Caenorhabditis elegans: one gene and its partner. The protein of the gene in region 1 purifies or fractionates together with the protein of each later gene. This does not show direct contact. Each region holds a gene or a part of one and is shown on either strand. Other genes may lie near its edges.

Evidence for each region. The genes of interacting proteins can lie anywhere in the genome.
Region 2: the proteins of dohh-1 (region 1) and dhps-1 fractionate together in Caenorhabditis elegans (co-fractionation; one large-scale study listed by BioGRID). This does not show direct contact.

What each region holds. Positions count from the first base shown.
Region 1 is NC_003280.10:10,577,030-10,582,174, reverse strand, and holds dohh-1 (Deoxyhypusine hydroxylase), read right to left. Parts: upstream 2,221-5,145; 5' UTR 2,198-2,220; coding exon 2,130-2,197; intron 2,085-2,129; coding exon 1,699-2,084; intron 1,650-1,698; coding exon 1,207-1,649; 3' UTR 1,130-1,206; downstream 1-1,129. Other genes in the region: dap-3 (Small ribosomal subunit protein mS29), read right to left, coding at 46-780, 832-1,041; rpb-6 (putative DNA-directed RNA polymerases I, II, and III subunit RPABC2), read right to left, coding at 2,382-2,795.
Region 2 is NC_003280.10:11,990,079-11,999,565, reverse strand, and holds dhps-1 (Deoxyhypusine synthase), read right to left. Parts: upstream 6,566-9,487; 5' UTR 6,552-6,565; coding exon 6,339-6,551; intron 5,762-6,338; coding exon 5,612-5,761; intron 4,471-5,611; coding exon 4,089-4,470; intron 2,468-4,088; coding exon 2,339-2,467; intron 1,906-2,338; coding exon 1,664-1,905; 3' UTR 1,556-1,663; downstream 1-1,555. Other genes in the region: Y17G7B.23 (DUF281 domain-containing protein), read right to left, coding at 1-112, 182-306; Y17G7B.3 (hydroxyacylglutathione hydrolase), read right to left, coding at 7,730-8,203, 9,221-9,391. UniProt on the Caenorhabditis elegans protein: Catalyzes the NAD-dependent oxidative cleavage of spermidine and the subsequent transfer of the butylamine moiety of spermidine to the epsilon-amino group of a critical lysine residue of the eIF-5A precursor protein to form the intermediate deoxyhypusine residue.

The sequences.
Region 1 (5,145 bases):
CTGAAAAATTAGTTTTCAAGATAATATATATGCTTTCAATTTTACCTCAACATATTCAAATCCTTCTTCTCCAAACAATTCCAATGGAGTGTGCCTGGAGACTCCGAGATGATCCCTGGCGTCTGCAACCTCTTTCTTATCTGCAACCATCAGAACACATCCATTAGTCCAATCATTTTCGATCATTCGCCGGTAATGTACAACAAGAGTAAGATCCGAAGGTGGTGCATAGGTTCTATCAGCTCGTTTCACCAAAGTTTTTCCCCACAGAGAATTCGCATCATCAATCGCCACTAGAACCTTCAGTTTGTCATCTTTTGCGTGGCGTCGGAGCTCTCGGAAGATTGCACCAACACAATCACTGGCAAGGAACGGAGCAGAGATTCCCATTTCAATAATTTCAGTGATAGGTTTTCCTTTCAACGTTCGTTCACTTTTCGACCATTCATAATCTCTTTCAGTGAGCAACTCTCCGAGAATCTTCCAGATATGTTGGTTTTGTTGCTTGAAATTTTGGAGAATAGAAACAGAATTCGATGGATCATTGATACGGCCTTGTACAAAAGATGACATCTCAATTTCTTTTACTCTTCTTGTCAGCTCCATTGCACTTCTTAGATGAACAATTGCCCATTTATTATTATAAGCATGATGAACAGCTTGATTGAGAGTAACCGACTTTCCGGTTCCGAAAGCTCCCCATAACACGAGGCGAAGAGCTGGAAGACTTTTATCCACAACTCGCATACAGCTTGCTACTTCTGCCATTGGTTCTCGGATCTGAAAATATATTTATTGAATATAATATTCCATTGATTATCGCCGACTAACCAAGGTAACAACTTCTCCCAACGTATCCATCTGTTTAGAAAGTGGAGCTGGCAGATGATTTCTCATATTAAGCTGTTTGGCAACTGGCATCTCAATTTCGGAAAGAGTTCCAACATCTGCTAACTGGGAATTGGATCGTCTCGAAATATGCAGCTGGCGAGCCGGAAGTCGGCGAGCGATCTGGCACATTAGGTTTCCACACGGCTTCATTCTGTAAAACTTGTCTGAAGTTCCGGGAGAAATCTGGTAAAAGTAGATAAATTTCGACAAAACGTAAATTGAATTAGAAACTGGATCACAAACTAGGTGAAATTTTTAATTAAAACTGGAAAACAAAACAATGAACAAGAACAGGAGGAAATCAACAAAAAATTATTAAACGTGAGCGTATTGTAGATCATCACTGTTTTCATATTCAGCCATATCCAAGGCAACTTCGCAGCTTTCTCGAACAACACGCTCCTCATCATTGACGTATTGCTTCAAAATCTCCGTACATTCTTCGTTGGCAATTGCTCCAAGAGCTTCAGCACATTCGTGACGGACCATGCAATTTTCAGTTGACAGTAGAAGACGATCCTTCAATTCTTGAGTGGCAACAGGCGACTGAAGTTGTCCTAAAACGTATGCGACTTCGTGACGGAACAAAGCACTATCTTCACAGTAGAGACCTTGAGCAAGAGCTTTGATGGATTTATCTGTCTTAATGTTTCTTAGACTGAACATCGCACGATATCTGTCGAAAAGTGGAAGTGAAGCGTCGATCAGAGTGGCTGCGAGCTCTTCGACGTCGGATGTTGAAGCTGATGGTGTTGGATCTACAAATTAAACTTTTATAAGCAAAATATGTTTAATTGAATCGCTTACCAACGCTATCATAAGGGCTGTTGGTATCCTTTCCACTTTTTTCAACCCATTCCACCCTTCCTAATGCAATTTGGCATGTCTCGGAAACTTCTGGACACGGATCTTGTGCATATTTTCGGAGGACATCTTTGACTGAAGGATCAGCAATTGCTCCCAACGCTTCACCGGCTTCATGGCGGACCATTGGCTCTTGCTTCTCGTCCTCAAGAACACTCACAAGTGTTGGAATGGCGTGCTTGTTCTGCATTTGACCCAAGCAGTAAGCCAACTCATGCTTCAGAAGTGCTGATTCGTCATTCAGACATTTTCCAATCCAGTCAACAGAACGATCACATCCAATATTCCGGAGAATAAATAGAGCTCGGAAACGAGCTTTCAGAGGTTTCCTGAAAATTTTCATTTATTAATTGGAAAAAAATCTACAAGATTACTTTGTGTCGTTTAATGCCTCTCCAAAGCTGTCGATTTCGGCATCAGAGAACTTTTGCGAAGCGACCATCTTTCCCGTTGTTCGAGTTGAATCTAAAATTTTATTCATTAATTTTCAAATAACATTGTCAACAAGGAGAGAGAAAGAGAATAATACGAACGGAACAAAATAAAAATGAGAGTGTAAGATCAGAAATGAGGAGAGCAAAAAAGGTGAAACAGTTAAAATGAGGAAAAATTAGAGAAACATTTCTCTACCAATCAGCGAGTTGAAGTTGATCGGTTGGCCAGTCTTCGTATGATCCATCTGGAAGGTAGCGGCGGACAATGATCGGGATACGGCGTTGTTTAAGCTCCTTGCGAGCAATCTCCAATGGATCGGTCTCTCCTTCAAGTTCAACCATAACCGGAGCTCCCATGGCGATTTGGAGAGCGCGAGTGCCAAGAACTCGAGCTCGTTCGTATTTTGTCATGAATGGAGTTGTCACATGCTCACTAGTCGGAACAGCCTTTCCTTGATCGAAAAGCTCGAAATTCTCGTCCACGTTGTCATCGTCCTCGTCCTCATTGTCAGGGCGTTGTGGATCTTCTTCGATCACGTCCTCCATTTCGTTGTCGTCAACGAAATCATCATTATCCATATCTTGATAATCGTCCTCATCGGCCATTCTGAGTCTGCAAAATTGAATTTACTAGTTATTTCTTAACATTTATAAGAAAAAACCGATAATCAAATGAAATACAAGAGTGATACAAATATAAATAGGAAAATCAATACAGAACCAGGCCTAAAGATATTTCTACACGGATGATTCAACATTAGATTATTGTAACAGTGAAAAATTATCAATTTGTTAAATATTAAAACTTTTAAAGATATTTTCAATTTATTCCATTCAGGAAAAGCAAAAAAGCAAAAGAAAGAAAATTGGTTCTACGAAATTGTTCAGGTGGATTTACGTTAAACAAGACGCAAGGCGTAACGGTGGAACGTCGTTGTGAGAGGCAATTTGAATTCTAGTGAAGGTCTCACAGCGAAAGTCACCTACAGTAACCCAGAATTTTAGGATTACCTGTCGCGAAGAAGGAGAATATACATATTCATCCTATCACGACTTTTTATAGTAAGGGGTTCAAAAGCAAATGAACACAGAAATGAAGAAGTAAAATGGTAACGGAAATGGTCGGGTCTTGCTTAGTATCACGAGCTGATAATAAGCCATTTTTGAAGGGGCCGGGAGTGTCGCGAATACGCAGAATACTGATATTCCGCCGATCACGACTTAAGAAATGATATTAATACCCAGGAAATGCGTCAAGGAAATATTAAAGAATTATTATGATTATTACGAAGTCTTTCCGTATTCTAAATGCTCACGACAATCCACGGAAGTCATCAACAACGACAAAGCCGGGAAACTCCTGTTTGAAAGCCGCGCCAAAAGACACACACGTCACGAGTGTTACAGTACTACCACACATGCACATCAAACCCCAACACGTCGACACCGCGCAAGGAAATCGTCACTTCTTCGTTTTACTCTCGGACCGGCAGGTCGCATGTTAAATATATGAGCTTTATCATTTTTATCATTCAACGGATTTATTAGTAATAAATTATGTAATTCTACCACTTTTGAACCTATACCGATACGAAACATTACCGCGATTTTCAATTTCGTATTTTCTTTTCCCCTTTTTCGCGGAATTTGTCGTTTTCGATGCTCGTTTTGTGTGTTATTTTTATATTTTTGTTTCAAATATTAATGTCGCACCTCCTTGATATATCAACGCATTTTTTTCTATACTTCCTACACTACTTTTAATTATCAATTTACAGGACAAAATCGAAAGATGCCAGCCCTTCCATCAGTCTACACGCCTTCTGGAGCTCCATCGAGCGTCCACGCACCACCTGCCGTTCCACCAGTTCCAGTTCCAACTCAACCGCTAAGATCGGAGTATCAGACGTCTAACGACGCTTGCATCAAGAGACTGGAAGAGCTCAATGTACGTTTAATCGGTTTCATAACCTTCTAATTTGTTAAATTTCAGATCGCTCCAGCTGCAAAGCTGTATCCAGCACCGACTGAACCAGGAAAATGTGGCGTTGAGGCCGAAATACAAACCAACGTATTCGGAATCGAGATGCACCAGGACTCGTTGTTCTATCAGTACAGCGTTCACATCACGACGGAACTGAAAAACGGGAATGAAGTTACTTTCACCAAGAAGGGAAAGGATGAGTAAGCTACCGCATTATTTAAACCTTGCTCATAATATGTTTCAGTTTCGTCGTTACTGAGAGACGAAAAGTGCTGTGCGATTCTGTTTCGCGCTCTTGGCGATTATGAGGAGTTCTTCAGAACGTCTGATAGCTGTCTCATTTACGATGGTCAAAGCATTCTGTTCTCCAACGTGGATCTTTTCCAAGGGTTCAGAGAAGGCGCAGTAAAGGTAAATACAATAAATCTTGATCAATGTTATTCATAATATTTCAGACCAAGTACATGCAGCTTGATGGAGGAGAGATTGATCATAAGGATCTCAAATCGTTGCCGTGTATCAAGCTGGAGGTGTTCCCCACTAAAAATCCAGCGGTCAAGTTCACACGAGAAGACGTAGCAAGACGAGCTTCTGACTCAAACCTCGATTCTGTCAGCTTGGCATACCAACAGATCCTCGAACTCGCTCTCACTCAACCATGTATTCGTAACACTGCAAGATACGTTGTTTTCGATCATGGAAAAATGTTTTTCATTGACCCACTCGGTGAAGGATTCGAGAAGTCCGACGTTGTTGACGTTGGGGATGGAAAGCAAGTTGTACCAGGACTCAAGAAGACGATCAACTTCATTGAAGGACCCTATGGCAGGGGGCGGAGCAATCCATCAGTTGTCATTGACGGTCAGTGTTCAAAATAATAATCTCATAGTTATTTCTTTTTTCAGGGATGAAGGTCGCTTTCCATAAGAATCAGCCAATTCTCGATAAACTGAAGGAGATAACTACGCAACC
Region 2 (9,487 bases), 1.4 Mb from region 1:
GTGACACCCTCGTACAAACGCGAGCTTATTGTTCACCGGAATCATGAGTTCGAAGCACATCGATGCACAGTTGCCAGAAACAGTACTCACTAAACTATTCGGCGTACCGCATCTGAAATAAGGGTGTCTGGTTGCATTTAAGTTATGCCGCTAGGTGTATGATTATAACATGAAAACGCACTTGTCATCAAACAGGAGATTCGCCGGTTTCAGCGGAAGTCCTGTTGCTCCCCAATCTTCCATTAAGTTTGATGTTGCACACTGGATGCAATCTTTGTCCTGCGCCCGGACTCCCAAAATCCACATCATAAATGTTAACAAAAAAATTTGAATTTTCAATGACATCATTATGCCTTTTTATCTGAAAAAATATTTATATTTAGATTAAATAAACATAAAAAGAATAACAAGAAAAAGGACAAAATTCCAATTGAACGAGCCGGGACAATTGAGCACTCGGAGCACTTCTTTTATACGAAAAATGTTTGTTTGTCTATTAAAGTGACTCAAAAAGTCATAAAAGGGGTTCTGAAATTCTGGAAAAGTCTGAAAAATTCTCAGAAAAAAAACAAGAATTTACGACCGTATAGGCAAATAGTTTTCAGAGAATGTCAGTTTTGAGAAGAGTCATGAGTTTTAGTGTATTATGTGCAGTGAGTCAATTATACAAATAAGAACAGGAAAATACTGTTATAGAATTGGATTTGGTTTTTTTTTTTAATTTTTTAATCATTGTTGCAAAAAAATTAGGAAAAAAACATATATTACGAGAAGACAAAAATCCTGAGAAAGCATATCGCCTAACATATCTCTAAATCTAAAAATATCTCATAGCGAAAACTACAGTAATTTCATGAAGGACTACTGTAGCGCTGGTGTCGATTTACGGGTTCGGTTTTCGAATTTTCTTTAGTTTTTTCGTACTGTTTTGTCCTTTTTTGTGTTTTCTTTCGATGTTTCATCGATTAATAAATGATGCCCGTAAATCGACACAAGCGCTACAGTACAGTGGATGGAAAACGATTTTTTCCGGCCAATCGGCAAACCGGCAAATCGGCAAACCGGCAAATTGCCGATGTGCCGAATTTGCCGGAAAACTGGAGTTTACCGAAAATTTTCGGCAAATTGTAGTTTCGCACTTATGTTTTTGGAAATTTCAGAATATCAATTTCAAATGACAAAATTAAGCGCATCCTATGAATGTTCCTACATCTATTTTGAAAAGTAAGCAAATTCTATGAAAATATGTAGAAAAAACGGGAAAAAAATTCATAAAGACACAGTTTTAAGTGTTTCCTTATAAAAAATCCCTCTAAACAATTCTGGCAAACGGGCAATTTGCCGGAATTAAAAATTTCCGGCAAATCGGCAAACCGGCAAGCAAATTGCCGGATTTGTTACAATTTTTTGAACAGCTAATTTTTTTTTGAACTTTTCAGAAAAAATTGAGGAATTTTTTTGAAGTTCTTTGAAAAAATCTTCAAAAATTCGATTTTTCGAAATATTTTAATTGTTTTCTTGTCCCGCAAATCATTCGTAAATTAAAAAAAAGTAATATTAAAGAATCTGTATTAAGAAAATAACAAACAAGTGAAAAAGTCAACAAAACAGGTAACAATGAAAAAATAGTTTTAAAAATTGGGGGAAAATTTGGCAAAAATTCCTAATCCTTGTGTCCTTCATGTTTTGCAAAAGTTTCAGCAACCAAAAGTGGGAATACAAGTGTCGCCTCAGCATGAACCTTCACAGCTCCAGCCGACGGCTTAACCTTCCCCCAGCTCACTGCCTCGTCGGGTTGAGCTCCAGAATCGGAGCCATCGAATTCTTGGCCGGTGTTGATGTAGACGGTATGATCTGCGCCGTTTCTCATGAGATTCGCGTTGTTGATGTGGTGTTTTACGACTCCTGGAATTGTAGGATTTTTTGACAAAAATGGGGAAAAATTCTGGAAAGCATTTTTTTCAAATTTTGTGAATTTGATTTTAAAAAATTAGTTTAAATTCTTTTTGTTTAAAGTCCAAATTTTTTTTTACATACTCAGCTTTTTTTCAAAGAAATTTTACGTTAAAATTTTCGAGAAATTTTTTTATTTTGGAAAAAACTAGAAAAAAGTGTATGAAAATTAAATTTAACAATAAATTTGGAAAATTGCTTTCATTACTATGGTATTTTCAAATTCAAAATTCAAAGTTTAATTTTTTTCTCAATTTTTTTCAATAATTTTTCAATCTTCAGAAAACTGCAAAAAAAATGTTGGAAAATTCATAAAATTTTTGAGAAAAAATTAATTTAAAATTTCTAAAACAGGGTTTTTCACATATTTTTTTTAATTTCGGACCTCCTCCTAAAATAATTGATCCAGTCTTGAAACTTTTGACAGCAATTGTATTAATATGTCGAACGTCCTCTACAATATCCACACGAAGCCCAGGTGAGCTTTTCACCGAATGGAAGTACAACATGTCACCTGAAAAAATTGACTAAAATAAAAATTTTTTGAATTTTTTTTTCAAATTTCAAAAACTTTAACAATTTTTTGCAAATTTTGTTTAAAAATAATGCAATTTTTTTTTTCGATGCTCTCTTATAAAAAATCCCTTTAAACATTTTCGGCAAATCGGCAAAACGGCAATTTGCCGAAAAAAAATTTTTTCCGGCAAATGGGCAAATCGGCATTTTGCCGGAATTTAAAATTTCCGGCAAATTGGCGGAATTTAATATTTCCAGCAAATCGCTAATTTGCCGAAAATGAAAATTTCCGGCAATAGGCAAACCGGCAAATTGTCGGAATTAAATATTTCAGGAAAATCGGCAATTTGCCGAAAATGAAAAATTACGGCAATCGACATATTGCCGGAATTGAAAAATTTTGGAAAATTTGGCAAATTGCCGGAATTGAACATTTCCGGCAAATCGGCAATTTGCCGAAAATGAAAAATTCCGGAAATAGGCCAACCGACAAATTGGCGGAATTTAATATTTCCGGCAAATTGGCGGAATTTAATATTTCCGGCAAAACGCTAATTTGCCGAAAATGAAAATTTCCGGCAATAGGCAAACCGGCAAATTGTCGGAATTAAATATTTCAGGAAAATCGGCAATTTGCCGAAAATGAAAAATTCCGGCAATCGACATATTGCCGGAATTGAAAAATTTTGGAAAATTTGGCAAATTGCCGGAATTGAACATTTCCGGCAAATCGGCAAACCGGCAAATTGGCGGAATTGAAAATTTCCGGCAAATCGGCAATTTACCGAAAATGAAAATTTCCGGAAATAGGCCAACCGACAAATTGGCGGAATTTAATATTTCCGGCAAAACGCTAATTTGCCGAAAATGAAAATTTCCGGCAATAGGCAAACCGGCAAATTGTCGGAATTAAATATTTCAGGAAAATCGGCAATTTGCCGAAAATAAAAAATTCCGGCAATCGACATATTGCCGGAATTGAAAAATTTCGGAAAATTTGGCAAATTGCCGGAATTGAACATTTCCGGCAAATCGGCAAACCGGCAAATTGGCGGAATTGACAATTTCCGGCAAATCGGCAATTTGCCGAAAATGAAAATTTCCGGAAATAGGCCAACCGACAAATTGGCGGAATTTAATATTTCCGGCAAAACGCTAATTTGCCGAAAATGAAAATTTCCGGCAATAGGCAAACCGGCAAATTGTCGGAATTAAATATTTCAGGAAAATCGGCAATTTGCCGAAAATAAAAAATTCCGGCAATCGACATATTGCCGGAATTGAAAAATTTCGGAAAATTTGGCAAATTGCCGGAATTGAACATTTCCGGCAAATCGGCAAACCGGCAAATTGGCGGAATTGACAATTTCCGGCAAATCGGCAATTTGCCGAAAATGAAAAATTCCGGCAAACCGGCAAATTGCCGAAAATGAAAAATTCCGGCAAATTTGCCAACAAATTCTTTCAAAAAATTCAATTTTTTTTCCAATTTTTCAAAATCTTTGAATATTTTTTTTTGCAAAATTGATAAATTAAAAAAAATCTATTTTCAAAGTTTTTTCGAATTTTTTCTCCAAAATTCGATTTATTTTTCAAAATCCAAATTCAAAATCCCCTACCCAATGACCCATCAGTAAGCGCCGGACAAAATACGGGAATCCGATGCTTGGCCGCCCAATACAGTATCGACGATTCATCACCAATCCGTTCACCAAGCCGTTGAATAAGCTTTGACGGTGTCCAATTGAGATGCTTTTCCTCTTGTTCAACAAGACATTCATCAAGAATTGGCATAAGCCAATCCTCAAATGCACAATAATTATCATTCGGAATGAGCACATTGCCGGCTCGATTCATTCCATTCGATCGAAGTTTTGCACCGTCCATTGTGAATGTACCGAGGTAGGAAGGTTTGAGACATTTGATGAGATCCTCTTCGATGCCTCCCGCTGATGTTACGATACAGTCGACTAGGTTACGTTGGACACAATAGCGGAGTACCTGGAATTTTTAATTTTTCATTTGGGTGGATTTACGAATTTAGAGTGAATTTACGGTACCTTTATGTAGATTTACGGGGAAATTTCAGGTTTTGTGTAGATTTACGAGACGCTAATTTCGGTGTAGATTTACGGAAGTATATGTTCTTGTGTAAATTTACGAGAAATAACAGCACATTGAATTTGAATTTAAAAATTTTTTTAGAGACGGTTTGGTGTGGATTTACGGGGGCATTTTAGTGTAGATTTACAATATTTCTTAATGGATTTAGGCTTCTGGGCCAATTTTAGAATTGATGTGTAGATTTACAAGGAGAATCAGTTCTGTGTAGAATTACGGTGAGCATAGTTTTTGTGGGTAGATTGACGAGAAAGCTGAGTATTTATTTTCCTGTGTAGATTTACGAGAAGTATTAATTTTTGTGTAGATTTACAGGGAAATTGTGTTTTTTTTTGTAGATTTACGAGAAGCAGGATTTTTTAGATGTAGATTTACGACGAATACAAATTTTATTTAGATTTACGGGGAATTTGAATTTCTGTGTAGATTAACCAGGAAATTCCGTTTTTATGTAGATTTACGGAGAAATTCAATTTTGTGTAGATTTACGAGGATCAATTTTGTGTAGATTTACGGGGAGATTCAGTTTTGTGTAGATTTACGGAAAAATATATTTTTTCTTGTGTAGATTTACGGGGATTGGTGTGGATTTACGGGGACATTTTAGTGTAGATTTGGGTCATTTTTAGAGTTGATGTGTAGATTTACAAGAAGAATCAGTTATGTGTAGAATTACGGTAACCATAGCTTTTTAAGGTGTAGATTTACGAGAAACTTTGATTTTTGTTGTAGATTTACTTCATGTAAATCTAATTTGTTGGTAGATTTACATGAAGCACTAGTGTTTCAGGTGTAGATTTACGAGGACTTTCAATTTTTGTGTAGATTTACGGGGAATTTTAATTGTTTTTTCGTAGAATTGCGGGAAGCACTAATTTTTCACGTGTAGATTTACGGGGAAATTCAGTTTTCGTGTAGATTTACAAAGATCAATTTTGGGTAGATTTACGGTAAACATAGTTTTCGTGTAGAATTACGAGGAATTTCAACTTTTGTGTAGATCTTTTGTAGATTTACGGACCTCACGAAGCCCACTGGTCACCAAATTCGACGTGTATCCGAGGAAAATAGTACATGATCTCTTTTGCCGACCTTCTGGATATGGGAAAAGCTTCTCGTCGTCGTCACAAGTCAACGGAGTATCACGGAGGGAGAGCATTTGATTTACTTGCTGAAAATTGGGAAAATTCGGAATTTATTGAGTAAAACAATTTTTTGCTGCTATTTTTCCAAATTTTTTGTAAAAAAAATTATTTTTTGAAGTTAAAATTCTTCCAGAATTTTATTTTAAAAAATCTATAAGTCCGACTATTTCAAAAATTAAAAATAAAAATTTTTGCGATTTTTTCAAAATTTTTTAAAAATTTAACTATAAGTTTAAAAAATTTTTATTTGGAATTTGAGAAAAAAAAATAAAAAAGGTCGACTTTCTCAGAAAATCATAAAAAAAAGGAAAATTTCCGCCTAAAAAATGTAAAAAAGCATTTTCGAAATACATTTTTTTATGATTTTTTTCTAATTTTTTCTTTTTTACATTATTTTATGTTTAAATATAATTTAATTTCAACTTTCCCAGAATTTTTTTTTTTTTTAATAAAATTTTTTTTCGATTCAAAAAAAATCAATAAGTCTGACATTCTCAGAAAATCATTAAAAAACCGGGAATTTTCGAATTAAATTTTTTTTTCGAAATTTTCAATTTTCCTTCTGATTTCCAAATTAAATCTGAATTTTTTGCAACTGGCTACCTGAATAGCCTGAGCCAAATGTGTTGCCTGAAATCCTGTGCTCATATAAGACGAAAGAATGGCGGAAAGCGAGAAATCCGGACCAGAAGCCGTGCTGAAATCGAATCCGCGAATCGGAATTGAACCATCCGGTACTTGACATGATTTCACGAGAACTGCTCCCTGAGCAAGTGCTATATCCTCCTGAGATGCTGCTGCTTCGTTGGTGCTCATTTTGGAGCAAGTTTCTGAAAAATTGAGGCGGGTTTTTACTGAATTTACTATTAGTTAGGTGTAAAATTAGACAAAATATTAAAATTTTTTGAAAAAATCCAAAAAAAAAAATACAATAAATCAAATAAAATATGATTGAAAACTGAATTAACAAAATTTGTACCAAAAAAAATCGGAAAAAAATGAATAAGCATAAATTTATAGACATTTTAGCAGGAAAATAGAAATTAAAACCGGAATGAAATCACATAAAATCAAATCAATTTACAATAAAAATGCCGATTTTTATACAATTTTTTTTAGCAATTTAGATTTCGTAGTTTAGAAAAAATTCAGAATTTTTTTTTCGAAAAAAAAAACAACTTTTTTTTGGTTCGATTTTATAAAGAAAGTTCACAACAAAAAAAAACCAAAATTTGTTTGAAAAAAATAAAAATCATCGAAATTCGATTTTTGTAAAATTTCTCAAAAAAAATCCGTAATTAATTCAAAAATTCTCAATTCGTTTAAAATTTAAATTGTGGAAGTTTTTCCGAAAACAAAAATTCCGAAAAATGCCAATTTTTTGAAAAATTTCGCTTTTTTGGAAATTTTACTTTCGTAATTTTAGAATTTTGTTCGTTTCCATAATTAAAATTTCATTGAAAATCATTTAAATTCTTTTTTTTTTCAAAAAATCTGTAATTAATTCTAAAAATTCTCCCAGATTGTGGAACTTTCCAAAAACCAAAAAGAAAGTTTTTTATTCGAAATTAAGATATTTTTTCTAAATTAAAACAAAATAATTTTTTGATTTCAAAAAATTGTCATTTTTTAATTTAGAAAAATTTAAAACGAATAGAGTATTTTTTGAATTAATTATTTAATTTCGGATTTTTTTTTAAATTCGATCGAATTCAGATGATTTTTAATCAAATTTCAGTTTTTTTTTCCAATTTTGTACATTTTCTGAATTAAAAAATAGTAAAATTCCTCAAATGTTCATTGAAATTTCGAAAAAAAAAATTCTGAAAAAAATTCTTTTGCTAATTTTTTCCATAAATACAAATTACAAAATTTCTTTTAAAAAACACTTTTTCTTGTTTTTTTTTTTAATTTTTTTTCCAAAATTTAGATAATTTTACAATGAAAAAAGCTTAAATTTTCAAGAAAATTATATTAAAAAACCAAAAAAAAAATTAGAATTTATTCTTCATTTCTCTCAATTTGGCCATTCCCACGACCGCATCGCATGTCCCAATCGATTTTTGAATTTCCTCAGATTCCCGTACCCTCATAAATGGATTCGTTGCTTTTTCCTCAGCTACAGTACTCGGAACCGTAAATCCACCCTGCTCAATTTGTCGTTGAGCCCACTCGAGCTTCTGAGCAGCTTTCTCGTTGCCAGGTTCCACGTGGCACGCGAATTTCAGGTTGGCGACAGTGTACTCGTGTCCCGGAAATATTTGGGTCTCGACTGGAAGATTTTTGAGAATTTCGTTGAGTGCCACGTCCATTTGTGGTGCCGTGCCCTCGAAGAACCGCCCACAACCGGCGATGAATAGGGTGTCACCGGTGAAAACGACTCCAGGGGAAGTGGAATCTGCGGCAGGATTTGTGATGTGGTAGCAGATGTGACCGGATGTGTGACATGGAGTGGATAGACATTTTATCTGGAAATTTTAGGAATTTATTAGAGAAAAAAAGGATTTTTAAATACTTTTTAAAGGTTTTTTTTCGGATTTTTTTGGATTTTTTTTTGTTCGATTTTTTTTTTAATTTTGGATTTTTTTTGTTTGATTTTGCAAGAATTTTTTGAGGATTTTTCGGATTTTTTAATACTTTTCAAAATTTTTTTCGGATTTTTTGAAATAATTTTTTTGGATTTTTAAATACTTTTTAAAGGATTTTTTTTTGGATTTTTTAAAAAATTTTTTCGAGGATTTTTTGGGACTTGTTTTGGAGTTTTTTTGGATTTTTAAATAATTTTAAAAATACACCTTTTTTCTGTTTTGGAATATTTTTTTGAAATTATTTAGGGTTTTTTTTTTGGATTTTTAATAATTTTCAAAGGATTTTTTTGTTAGATTTTAAAAGAATTTATTTTGTTGGTTTTTTTAAAGAATTTTTTTTGGAATTTGGAATTTTCTTTTGAATTTATTTAAGAAATTTTTTTGAATATTAAAAAAAATTGCAATAATTAATTGCAATAAAATTTGCACAATTTCAATCATTGTGTCATTTTTGTAAAACAATTTTTGAAAAAAACCGCAATTTTTGATTTTTGTTGAAAATATCTGATTTTAAAACATTTTTTCACGAGAAAATATTCAGAAATTCAAGAAGATAAGGTTTTTTTTTAAACTGGAATTTAAGAAAAACTGCAGCGATTTTTTAGAAAAAAGTTAAAATCTGCAATTTTTTCCGTTTTTTTTGCTGAAAACTGCTAATAAATTTTTTGAATAAAAAATTCCAATTTTTTTATTATACCAACAAAAAATCGATTTTTTTTTTGTAGAAAAAGGGTTGAATTTTCAAAAAATTTTCAGCAACTTCTGGAAACCCCAAGTTTTTTTATTATTTCAAAAAATTAAAATTTCATGCTAGGTCTTCTAAAAAAACCAATATTAAAATTTTGGAACAAAAAAAATTTAATTTTTTTTTCAAAAATCAAATTTCAAAAAAATAACCTGAAGCCCAGCGAACTCTGCCATATCACCATGCTTCACGTGCCGATCCATTGCCGGAATCCTTGAATCTCCACCGAGAATCATGACATTCGGGAATTGACGACGAAATCCTTCATTTCCACCACAATGATCATAGTGGTGATGGGTGGTTAGTACTGCTGTTATATCGATCTGTAGGAGAAAACAAATTAATTATTGACAAAATTTTTATGGCGAATAAAAACTGTTTAAAATGGAAAGTGAATAATGGGAAAAAAATCATTTTTT